Linked DNA regions of Macaca mulatta. The protein of the gene in region 1 interacts with the protein of each later gene in a pairwise test. Links are inferred from orthologs where the notes say so. Each region holds a gene or a part of one and is shown in the gene's direction. Other genes may lie near its edges. The genes, in order: CTBP1, CRY2 and NOL4.

Evidence for each region.
Region 2: the proteins of CTBP1 (region 1) and CRY2 interact in binary tests that used the Homo sapiens proteins (3 or more experiments, as listed by UniProt). The two-hybrid records come from large-scale screens. The link is inferred for Macaca mulatta from reciprocal best matches to the Homo sapiens genes CTBP1 and CRY2.
Region 3: the proteins of CTBP1 (region 1) and NOL4 interact in binary tests that used the Homo sapiens proteins (3 or more experiments, as listed by UniProt). The link is inferred for Macaca mulatta from reciprocal best matches to the Homo sapiens genes CTBP1 and NOL4.

The regions. Positions count from the first base shown.
Region 1 is NC_133410.1:1,299,641-1,303,290, reverse strand, and holds part of CTBP1 (C-terminal-binding protein 1), read left to right. Parts: intron 1-1,899; coding exon 1,900-2,106; intron 2,107-3,650. UniProt on the Homo sapiens protein: Corepressor targeting diverse transcription regulators such as GLIS2 or BCL6. Has dehydrogenase activity. Involved in controlling the equilibrium between tubular and stacked structures in the Golgi complex.
Region 2 is NC_133419.1:19,770,894-19,774,643, reverse strand, and holds the start of CRY2 (cryptochrome-2), read left to right. Parts: upstream 1-1,267; 5' UTR 1,268-1,280; coding exon 1,281-1,495; intron 1,496-3,750. UniProt on the Homo sapiens protein: Transcriptional repressor which forms a core component of the circadian clock.
Region 3 is NC_133423.1:58,247,895-58,251,644, forward strand, and holds the start of NOL4 (nucleolar protein 4), read left to right. Parts: upstream 1-1,340; 5' UTR 1,341-2,613; coding exon 2,614-2,877; intron 2,878-3,750.

The DNA.
Region 1 (3,650 bases):
ACAGAACATGTACACTCAACACACAGAGCATGCACACACATCTGCACCCGTGCACGTGTGGTCAGCACGCAGAACACACACATCTGCACCCATGCACGTGCACTAAGTACTCGGAATGTGCACACTCAGCACACAGAACATGCACATGCATCTGCACCCGTTCATGTACCCTCAGCACATGGAACACTCAGAGGACACGCACGTCCGCACCCGTGCACGTGCACTTAGCACACGGAACACGCACACAGCACACAGAACACGCAGACGTGTCTGCACCTATGCTCATGTACTCAGCACATGGAACACTCACAGAACACGCACGTCCGTACCCATGCACCTACACACGCACACGGAACGTACCCACGTGTCTGCACCCATGCGCACTCATTAGAACAAACTCAGGGCGGTGCTTGGCCGTCCTGCGTGGAGCGCACTTTGTTTTCTGCCAGGCTCCGTCTGTTGTGGGTTGTTTTTGTTGGTTTTTTTTTTTTGAGACGGAGTCTCGCTCTGTTGCCCAGGCTGGAGTGCAGTGGCGCGATCTCGGCTCACTGCTGCTTCCGCCGGTGCCCATGGGCCAAAGCCGTGTGCCAGCCGCCTCCCGCCTTTGTCTCTGTGGCGGCATCCTGGGAAAGGCCGGCTGTGGTGTCAGGCGCAGGCCCGGCTGTGCGGTGTTGGGTGCAGTCCTGGCTGTGCGGTGTCGGGTGCAGGCCTGGTGCTTTCTGAGCGACCCCTGCTGTTTACCATCTCCGTTGCCCATGGAGTTTCCCAGGCCCGGGCTCTGTTCTTCAGCCAGGGACAGTCTGGGGCACCGCTGGGATCTGGCCCACACTCCAACGTCCCACAGTCAGGAGGCCTTTCTTCCAATCTCGTGTGGTGCTTGGCTTGGCTCTCCCTCAGTCTCCCTTGTTTAACGTTTTTACGTCCAAGTGAGTTGTGTCTGGGGCGATGTGGGATCCCAGCCTTGGCCTTGTGCAGCGCCTGCCCGCGCTGCCCCACGTCAGGCCCCCTCCCGACCCTCGGAACCCCTCACGGAACCACACGGTCCTGTCCAGCCTCCGGGCATATGAATGCAGCCCTGTCCTGGCCTCCTGCCCCTTCCTCCTCCCCAGAGAGACGGACGGCCAGTTGGACGGCCAGTCACAGGAGTGCAATCATCTGAATGGGGCGGGAAGTGCCGTGCAGGGGAGGCGCTGGCCAGGGACAGGCCAGGGATGAGGATAAATAGGCTCAGGGAGGGGCCCTGGCCGGGGAAGGGCCTGCCTCTGGGACAAGGCTGGGAGCGGGCAGTAGGGGTTACACTCGAGAGAAATGGGATGGATTTGCTTTCTAGGAATGGCTCCAGCTGCAGTGTTATTGACTGCGGGGTGTAGGGCATGGAGGGCGGAAGGGACTGCGGGGGCCTGGCTTGGCCTGGGGGAGGCCTGAGGACATGTGCGGATGTCCATGTAGGGGTGTGCAGGTGGGGCCAGCACCCAGATTCTGACCTGGCCGCAGCCTCCCCGCAGGGTCCCCCTGGAGGAATCAGGGCAGCGAGGTGACGCGGGGAGACATGTGCTTGTCTCTGCCTGGGCTCCCAATGCTGAGTTGGGAGGGGTCAGGGCAGCGTCTCACGCCCTGGCCCCACCACACACCGAGCAGTTTGCGAGCGTGTGCTGCCACGTGAACCTAAAGTGGAGGTGGGGCTCCAGCCACAGGGCACAGGCGCCAGGCCAGGTGCTCTGTTGCCCCCGAGCCTGGGAGATGTGCGTTCATTTCGTGGCCTCCCAGGGTGGCCTTGGGGACGTGGCCTTTGGCTTCTTCCTCGGGAAGCTTCAAACCTGCTCCAGCCACAGTAGCCCTGGTGTCCTCCCAGAGGCTGGGCCTGGCCTGGAGGTGACCGCCGTGTCCTTGTCCCCACAGGCATCGCCGTCTGCAACGTGCCTGCGGCGTCTGTGGAGGAGACGGCCGACTCGACGCTGTGCCACATCCTGAACCTGTACCGGCGGGCCACCTGGCTGCACCAGGCATTGCGGGAGGGCACGCGAGTCCAGAGCGTCGAGCAGATCCGCGAGGTGGCGTCCGGCGCCGCCAGGATCCGTGGGGAGACCTTGGGCATCATCGGACTCGGTGCGTCAGCCACAGCTCCATGCCCGTGACCCTCCCTGTGCCTGGCGCTGCTGCTCTTCAGCCGTGCCCAGAAGGAGAGGCCCAGGGCGGGGCGGGGCTGCGGGTGTCGGTCCCAACCCAGGACAGGACTGAGTGCAGCCCAGGCGCCAGGGCCCAGGAATCCCAGGCTGTGTGCCCTACGTACGCGGACGTCACAGCACACGTGGGCCTTACACGGGCACACACGGATGTCACAGCACACGCGGATGTCACAGCACACGCGGATGTCACAGCACACACAGCCTCACACAGACATCACAGCACACACATGGGTCTCACACTGGCCTTCACAGATATCACAACACCACAGCACACGTGTGAGCCTCACACAGACAGCACGGCACACACTGACATCACACACGGACGTCACAGCACACATACAGGCCTGCACGGATGGCACATGTGCCACAGCACACGTGGCCTCACAGATGCCACAGTACACATGACCGCATGGGCACACACAGACATGACACATGGACGTCACAGGACACACATGGACCTCAAGGGCACACACATAATACACGGATGTCACAGCACATAGCCTCACACAGATATCACAATACACACGTGGGTCTCACACCGGCCTGCATGGACGTCATAGCACACACGGCCTGTACAGATATCACATAGAACACCACAGCACACATGGGCCTCACGCAGACATCACTGCACACACAGACATCATACACGGATGTCACAGCACACATGTGGGCCTCACACAGGCCTGCACTGATGTCCCACATGCCACAGCACACGTGTGGGCCTCAGACATCACACATGGACATCACAACACACACGTGGGCCTTACACAGGTACACACAGACAACACAGACGTCATAGCACCCACAGCCTCACACAGCACACACATGGGCCTCAGGCCTGCGCAGACATCACACGGACGTCACACACGTGAACTCCACACAGACATCACATGTGGATGTCACAGCACACACGGGCCACACGGGGACATGCAGATGTCACGGCACACATGGATATCACACGGCACACATGGGCATCACACGGATATCACAGCATACACGATACCACGTGGACACACACCGGTGTCAGTCATGGGCACATGGGCATACAGACACGGGCATACGTGTGGGCACACACATCAACCACGGTCTAGCACGCGCTCACCCCTTGAGGCCTCTGGGGCTGGCTGCGTGGATCCTGCTGGGGCTGGGGTTCGGGCAGCCGCGGGCTTCCTCCGCTGTCACCAGCAGCCGGCCCTGCGCCCGGGGAGTGGTTTGCCCCTCAGCGACCCCTTGCTCTTCATTTGCCCACTCGCTCTGCAGCCGCCTGTCCTGGGCCCAGCACCGTCCTGGGTCCAGCATGCAGCAGTGAGCAGGCCCCACACAGCCAGGCCCAGGTTGAGCTCAGAGCAGCAAGCGTGTGTGTGTGTGTGCGCGTGTGTGTGTGATCCTAGAGTGGAGCCATGTCTTGAGAGAGAGGAGCTGGGAGAGGCCAAGCGAGGTCACGGGGGAGCATCTGGGCGGGGC
Region 2 (3,750 bases), on another chromosome or scaffold:
AGAGTGGTGCCAATTAATGCCACTAAATTGCAGACTAAATTGCTAAATGCTTTCATCACACTGTCCCAGGTCCAGGAAGGGTTCCAAGCATGGGCTCAACCTAGGGCCAAGTTGAAACAGACTGTTCTCCACCTGATAACCCCAAAGCTGCAGCTTGACTAAGCCATCTTAGCCTTCCCCAACACCTTGTTGCTGGTGTTTATAGCTTCTCTTGCCATTTAGTCAGTCAATCAGCAAGCTCTATGCTAGACGCCAGAGGAATAAGAGGGTTCCACCTGGCGTCCCAGAAGAATGGGGACAGTGTCCCCCACATCTCTGAACCCCACCCGGAATCCAGTACAGTGCTTTGCACACAATAGTACCACTGGATCTACTAAACAGACTAAAAGAAAATAAATTCATCTGATGGCATAATTACGAGCTCAAGTCCTCCACATTCCCAGTCCCTACTCCCAAATCCTCTAATGCTGCGTATCAGGGCACTCCTTCTCCATCCTTGGACTCTGCCACTTGGAATTACCAAGGATCTTCGCACAAAGAGAAGTATAGCTTCGTGGATAAAAGCAGAAGTTTCAAAATCAGAATAATCTGGGTGAAATCCCTCTTAGTAGCTTTATGATACTGAGCAAGTCGCTCAACCTGCGGCACCCTCCATTTTCTTCATCTGTAAAACAAAAATAACAGCAGCTCTTCCACTGGTGTTCGTTAAATGAATGTAACTGGGCTGAGTTCAGAATAGTAAATGAGACCGACTATGTAAGGAGATGATCATGTCTCTTGCCATATAAAGTGCACTTAATAAATGGCAGTTGTAGTAGAATGATGTAGATGATGCTGGTGACGATGTTGGTGATAATAGGAAGGTCAGTTGTCAGTTTTGCAAGTCTCTGACTGTAGTCACAGCAACCCCTACCAGCCCAGGCAGCTTCTTCTAGAAGCAGGCCCTGAACAGGACATGTGTAAGAGATCCGCTGTACCTCGAGACTCGGCCCACTCCCGGCCCTCCGCGGACTGTGCCAGCCTGCGTCACTTGTCCGCCTGCCAGCTCCACCCAGGCGGACCCACACATGGTAGGAACGTGAGGGGGCGGGGCCTGTTCTGGCGTCTCTGGGCCAATCGCCGGGCGGGAGGCACTCAGCCAATGGCACAGGAGCTCTAAGGCCCTGGGGGCGGGGACGAAGGGAGGAGCTGCGGCGTCATAGGTCACTGGGCGGTCTGTGGGCGGGGTCCGCGTCGCCTACCGGGGCGGAGCGGGGGTGGCCGGAGCAGTCTGGACAGTCATGGCGGCGACTGTGGCGACGGCGGCAGCTGTGGCCCCGGCGCCAGCGCCCGGCACGGACGGCGCCTCTTCAGTGCACTGGTTCCGCAAAGGGCTGCGGCTCCACGACAACCCGGCGCTGCTGGCGGCCGTGCGCGGGGCGCGCTGCGTGCGCTGCGTTTACATTCTCGACCCGTGGTTCGCGGCCTCCTCCTCAGTCGGGATCAACCGATGGAGGTGAGGGGACCCGGGGCGGGGTGGCGGGGACGCAGCCAGGACCCTGACCCTGGGGTGACCGGCGAACAGCACGATTCTCTCAACCTCTCCACGGCTGGGAGGCCGTGGAGAAGCCGAGACCGGGGAAGTAATTCGTCATGGTCCTAACGCGCCGGTGGGCCAGGGCTCAGCCTCTGACAAAGCGCGTTCGCACTGTTACCCCTCTGAGCCTCACAACTGCCTGTGGAACGGAGATCATGATCCCCGTTGTACAGATGAGACCCTTGGGTCCTGGAGACCCAAAGTCGACCTGTCCAAGGACTTGCAGCCAGTGAGTGGCGGAACAGGGGCTCCTGGTCTAGGGCTCTTATGGTCTACTCAGGGAGGGGCAGAAGGGAGATACTGTGGTGTGAGGGCGGGACGGGTTTTTGCTCGCATTCTTCAAGTAAAGAGCCCATTGCTGGGCTCGGGGAGATCATTCCTAAGCCTCTGGCTTGTTTGAATCCGCCCTACCACCCATCCTGGCTTCCCTGCGCCCAGACCGTCCTGCCTCTAGGGGTGTCAGGTGACCCTGGCTTAGCATTAAATAAAGTCTTCTCCCCTATGTTATAAATAAAGAAGCCAAAGGTGTCTTCAGGTGGAATCGCGTTGTGTTCAAAGCTCCAGAGAATCCAGGGGATTCTCCAAAATGGTTTAAGCCCTGCTCTGGAGCTTTGACCTCGATAAAAAAAAATTTAAAAGGATCCAAAGTGTCACCCCGTCATCCTCTTGTCATGATTTTAGAGGACAGTTGAGCCATTAGAGATGAGACTTCTATGAACTGTTGTGCTAAGGTTAGGGAGCAGGAAAGCCATGATATCAAGGGCCCCTCTGATGACCCCCCAGGAGATGGAGTCGACATGATCATGGAAAAAGATGAACAGGTCGTTAATGTATTTTCTTTGTAAGCAGTATTCAAATTAAAGAGTTTTGAGACATCATGTACCCATCGCTCTTCAGAACACCTAGTGGCAGTCGCTGGGTTTGTTTACATTGTTCTGGGGAATGTTTGCTTGTGGCCTTGTTGCACTGATGGACAGGGTTATTTCCAGGATACCGTGGCTCTCGGCACACCATTCTTTTCTCTCCAAGGTGTGTACCCTGCTAAGAGAGTGAGTGCTCCTAGCAGTAGGTCTGTTCAGTGTCCCCTCTTGCCCAGTTTATATAGAAGGAACAATTAAAGAGTCCTGTGGAGAGCCTGCCCACAGTTTTCAGGCTGCCTTATTGCTCTGTCTCTGCTCCAGTTTTCTACAGATAGGAGGTTGTGTTTGACAAGCATCATCAAATGACCATCCCTAGTGTGGACATTAAGCCAAGCCTCAGACTGCCCTGCACCAGTCAGAGCCAGCCAAATGGAATCCGACTACCTTCTTGTTACATTGTCACAGAGTTTCTTCTTTTATTGGGTTTTGGGGGACACTGCCTAGTACTACCTACTCTTTTTTGATAGGGGAGATTAAAAATCAACAATAAAATTCCCGTTGATTAAACTCCAGTTTGCTAGGAACCAGGTGTTTATGGATTTTTGTGGGTTATCGTTTTGTGATTGTGCTGTCAATCTAGTGAAGGAGAAAAGGAATGTGGCTTAGATGCCTGAGTCAAATCCTGAAGTCAGAGGCTGTGTAGGAATGCAGATATTAATTGATTACTTAATGAATGCCTAATATCTGCCAGGTAGTGCTCTAGATGTTGCTAGGGATACAGCAGTGAATAAACAGATGTGTCTGTGCTCCAGAACTCCTGGAGCCTACATTTTATTGAAAGAAGACCAGCAAACAACCATAATTTAGTGAAACGAAGTGCCATGAGAAACATAAGATAAGGGGACAGACTAGAGCAGTGGTTCTCAATCTTGGCTGCTATGTATTGGAATCCCATAAGGATCTTTAAAAGATGCCTGGGCCCCTTTCCCCCAATTCTTTTTTTTTTTTTTTTTGAGATGGAGTTTTGTTCTTGTTGCCCAGGATAGAGTACAATGGCACAGTCTGGGCTCACTGCAACCTCCGCCTCCCAGGTTCAAGCAATTCTCTTGCCTTAGCCTCCCAAGTAGCCAGGATTACAGGTGGCCACTGCCACACCTGGCTAATTTTTTTGTATTTTTAGTAGAGACAGGGTTTCACCATGTTGGCTAGGCTAGTCTCAAACTCCTGACCTCAGGTGATCTACCCACCTTGGTCTCCCAAGCTGCTGGGATTACAGGGCATGAACCACTGTGCCCAACCCCTTTCCCCCAGTTC
Region 3 (3,750 bases), on another chromosome or scaffold:
TATCTTTCCAGAAACTTCCAGGAAACACATGACCAATATCTAACTAAATCGAGCCCTAATGCCACAAAGGGAAACTTAACAGAGTTGTTCCTGTGAAGTATACCCCACTAGAAGGGTGGTTCAGAATATTCTTCTGTCCAATTGCGTGTTTCAAATTATTTATGTATTTAAGATATTGAGATTTTTTTAACGTGAAATATCTAAAGATTATTGTTCACCTCAATAAATTGAAAGTGATATTTTTCCCCTGTGTCCCTTGTATTAGATTCACTTGTGACTTATTGGACAGTGTCTTCTCTGAGCTCTATGGTCTAGTATGTATTGAACAAAAATTCAAGGACTGAGAACAACTGATTTATTTTAGTACTTTTTTAATACAAAAGAAGGAAATAAAAGAATAAAAGCAGTCGGGGTGGCCTCTGGAGAAGGGGAGCTGTTGTTGCAGGAATCTTGCAAGTTAATGAGAATTCACCCGGGACTCAAGAGCAATGGAGAGAGGGGGAGAAAGGAGGAGATGGGGGAATGGGGTGGGGGGATAAACTCTTCCTTTGCAGCTGGCCCTCTCCCTCATTTGTTGCTCCAATAAGCAGTAATTAGGTCCTGAGCTAATGGTGTCAGCTGATCTGCTGTTTTTAGGCTAGACCCAGAGGAATCTCCATGGAAACCCTGCTGGAGTCGTCCCCCCACCTGGATGCTGCGTGCTCCTTTCCGCCACCTGGCTGCCGTCGGGCCCGCTGCTACCTCCTCCTGCCTCTAACCTGCAGCCTGCAGCATGCGCACTGCCCCCGGGATCCCTAAATGGGACAATTCTGCCCGTGACGTCAGCGCCCAGCCGTCTCCACAGAAACTTTTGTCCCATTGGCCAATCAGAGAGCTTGGAAGGGGCCGGGGAGGGTGGGGGGAGGAGAGGGGAGTGGGAGGGGTGGGGGTGAGGGGAGAGGCGAGAGGTTTAGTGTGTGGTGCTGCCTGCGCTCCGCCCGGGCTGTCAGTCCCGGCTCCAGCCGCCGCGAGACCTTCCCGGAGACGCGCGCACACACAGCGCACCCCCTGCACACCGCACACCCTCGCTCCCTTGCTCACACACACGCACACACTCATCCTGGCCGAGCAGGAGCCACTGACCATTTTGCAAGTGCCAGGACCAGCTACAGCGCAGTGGGCGCAAACATCCCGCGTTCCCTTTCCGGGTTTCAGTCTGGGAGACGACGACGAGGAAAGAAGGTGGGCTCGGGCGCAGCCCAGGCGCCGGGCACTAGTCGGGCCGTTTTCCTGGCAGAGCCGCTCCCTGGGACGGGCGCGGGCCTCGACTGAGAGTAGAATAAAGAGGAGCGGCCGCAGCCGCCGCGCGAGGAGGATGGGAACTCCCCTATTTCCAGCTCTGGAAACAAATGGATGGAAGTCCTGAATGGAGCAACTGCTGACTTCATCTGCTTGGAAAAATAGTCCAGAGGAACTCATATTTGGCTACTCAGAGCAGTGGAGGGGGTGTCCATGACGTGGCAGGGGGAAAATAGGCAACTGAAACCTCCCGTGTGAACTGCAAACTGTGACCAAGCAAGGGGAAAATGATCTTTCTCTATATATTTTAATTTCCTGCAAAGGGTTTCAAGCATCTGCATCCTAAACTTACTTCTATGTCTTGTTCAGCAGAAACCAGAGGAGTCCTGTCTGGGGGTCCCATCATTATCCGGGAGACCCGCCACCAGCGGCCTGCCTTCCGTTACCCACATCCCCCTGGAACGGATATCTGTTTGGGGCACTACAATCTATCCTGTAGAACTATGGCCAAATCTCCATCAATGCTTTGCTAATTTCTGGGACTTAACTCGTAGAATCTACATACAGGGCTGGAATTTATTCCAAATGCATCTGAAGAAATGAGATTTTAAACCGTTTTTTAAAATATCTTCATAAAATAATTCTGTAAAACAGATTTTGATAGGTTTAAAAACATGACAGGTAAGAACTTTCTCTCTTTCTAGTCCCTTAACACCCGTCGTGGGGAAGGTCAAAGCAGGACCCAGGAGGAAGGAGAGATCCGGGACCCGTGTGCCCTTCGGGCTCGCAGGCGCTGGGCCGGCGGCTGCTTTCAGGAGAAGCGCAGCCCTCACTCCTGGAACACGGGGCCAGTGGCTGGGGAAGCTTCTGGGGCGCGCGCGGGGAGGCGGCGCTGCGCTCCACCTGCCCAGCCCCGGACGCAGCCCGGGGGCGAGGCGTCTAGGGACCACCCCAATTCAATATTGGGATTTTTAATAAACCAAGAAGTGGGATTTCAATTATTCAAAACCCAGCTTCTCTGGGCCAGAATGCTGTTGGGATGGTCCTGGTCACACAATATTAAAGAGACCGATCGCTAAGGGAACAGAAAAAGCGTCCGAGACAGCCGTTGCAATTACGAATGGACCAGACTTGGTAGCACAGGGCATTGATTGCTGGTGCCCAACCGGACCCTCCTCCCCTCTCCCCATCCCTTCCCCCACCCAAAGCAGGCTCCCGCGGCGGCCGGGACCTCGCATCCCTGCAACGTGGCCAGGGCTGCATTTTACATGAGCCCAGGGTGAACAGGTGCGAAGTGCGCTGGGAGCATCCGGCCGGCGGCCGGGCGCGGGGAACATGGAGAGCGAGCGCGACATGTACCGCCAGTTCCAGGACTGGTGCCTCAGGACTTACGGGGACTCAGGCAAGACCAAGACGGTGACCCGTAAAAAATACGAGCGGATCGTCCAGCTCCTCAATGGCTCCGAGTCGAGCTCCACGGACAACGCCAAATTTAAATTCTGGGTCAAATCGAAGGGCTTCCAGCTGGGCCAGCCGGACGAGGTCCGCGGGGGAGGCGGCGGCGCCAAGCAAGTGCTCTACGTGCCTGTCAAGACCACGGTGAGTGACTCGCCTTCCTCTGTTATTTGTCTGCCGGAGCAACCCGGCGGGGAGGGAGGAAGGAGAGAGGCGGGAGAGAGGGGGAGCCGTGAGCCGCCGTTGGCTCGTGTGCCCCCTACCTTCCTCAACCCCCTCCCCAAGTCGTCCCCACTCGCATTAGCCAGGCGCGTTTTCCCCACTGTGGAGTCTTTGTGGTCCTTTTATTTTAAAGCGGCAGCGCACCTCCAGAGCTGGCCTGCCTCCCCACCTCGGGCTCCCGGACCGGCTGCTGGAGCTTCCTTCCCCGGGTCGGGCGGCGTCTAGCGTCCCCGGGCTGGGCCATTGTCCCATGTCCTTCTCTGGGCGCCTGGCGCGTGTCCCACCGCCGCCACCGCGCATAAAGGCCAGGCTGGAAGCCCGGCCGCACGCTCTGAGAACAGACAAGTCTGATCGATAGTCTACAGTGTCTCCTTATTGGCATAAAGCCCGAATGTGGCGCTAGCGGTGGATGTGGGGTTTTCCCCAGGACACCGTCAGGTTTTATCGTTAGATCGCCGCCCAGGAGGCACGGGGCAGCCCGAATGCCTCGATCACTCCCAGAGATCGCTGCCGCGACTGTTGAGATTGTAGATAAGGTCCTGAGAATTCCTCCTCCCCGCCCCCCATTCCCTTCCTCACTTCCCTCTTCTACAAATAAAGCCGCAGCTAGAAGATGAACAACAAAGAGAGATGGGTTTAGGCGCTATCGAATGGTGTGTGTATTTGTTCCTCTTTCTGGGTTGGCTCTAGTCTCATGGCCACAAAGCTCTAGCCCAGGCGCCGTGAGGCACTGGCATTGAGAGCCCAGTGCATCTCAGCCTCACGCTGCGGAAGCCGGTGGGGCTGGGGAGCCGC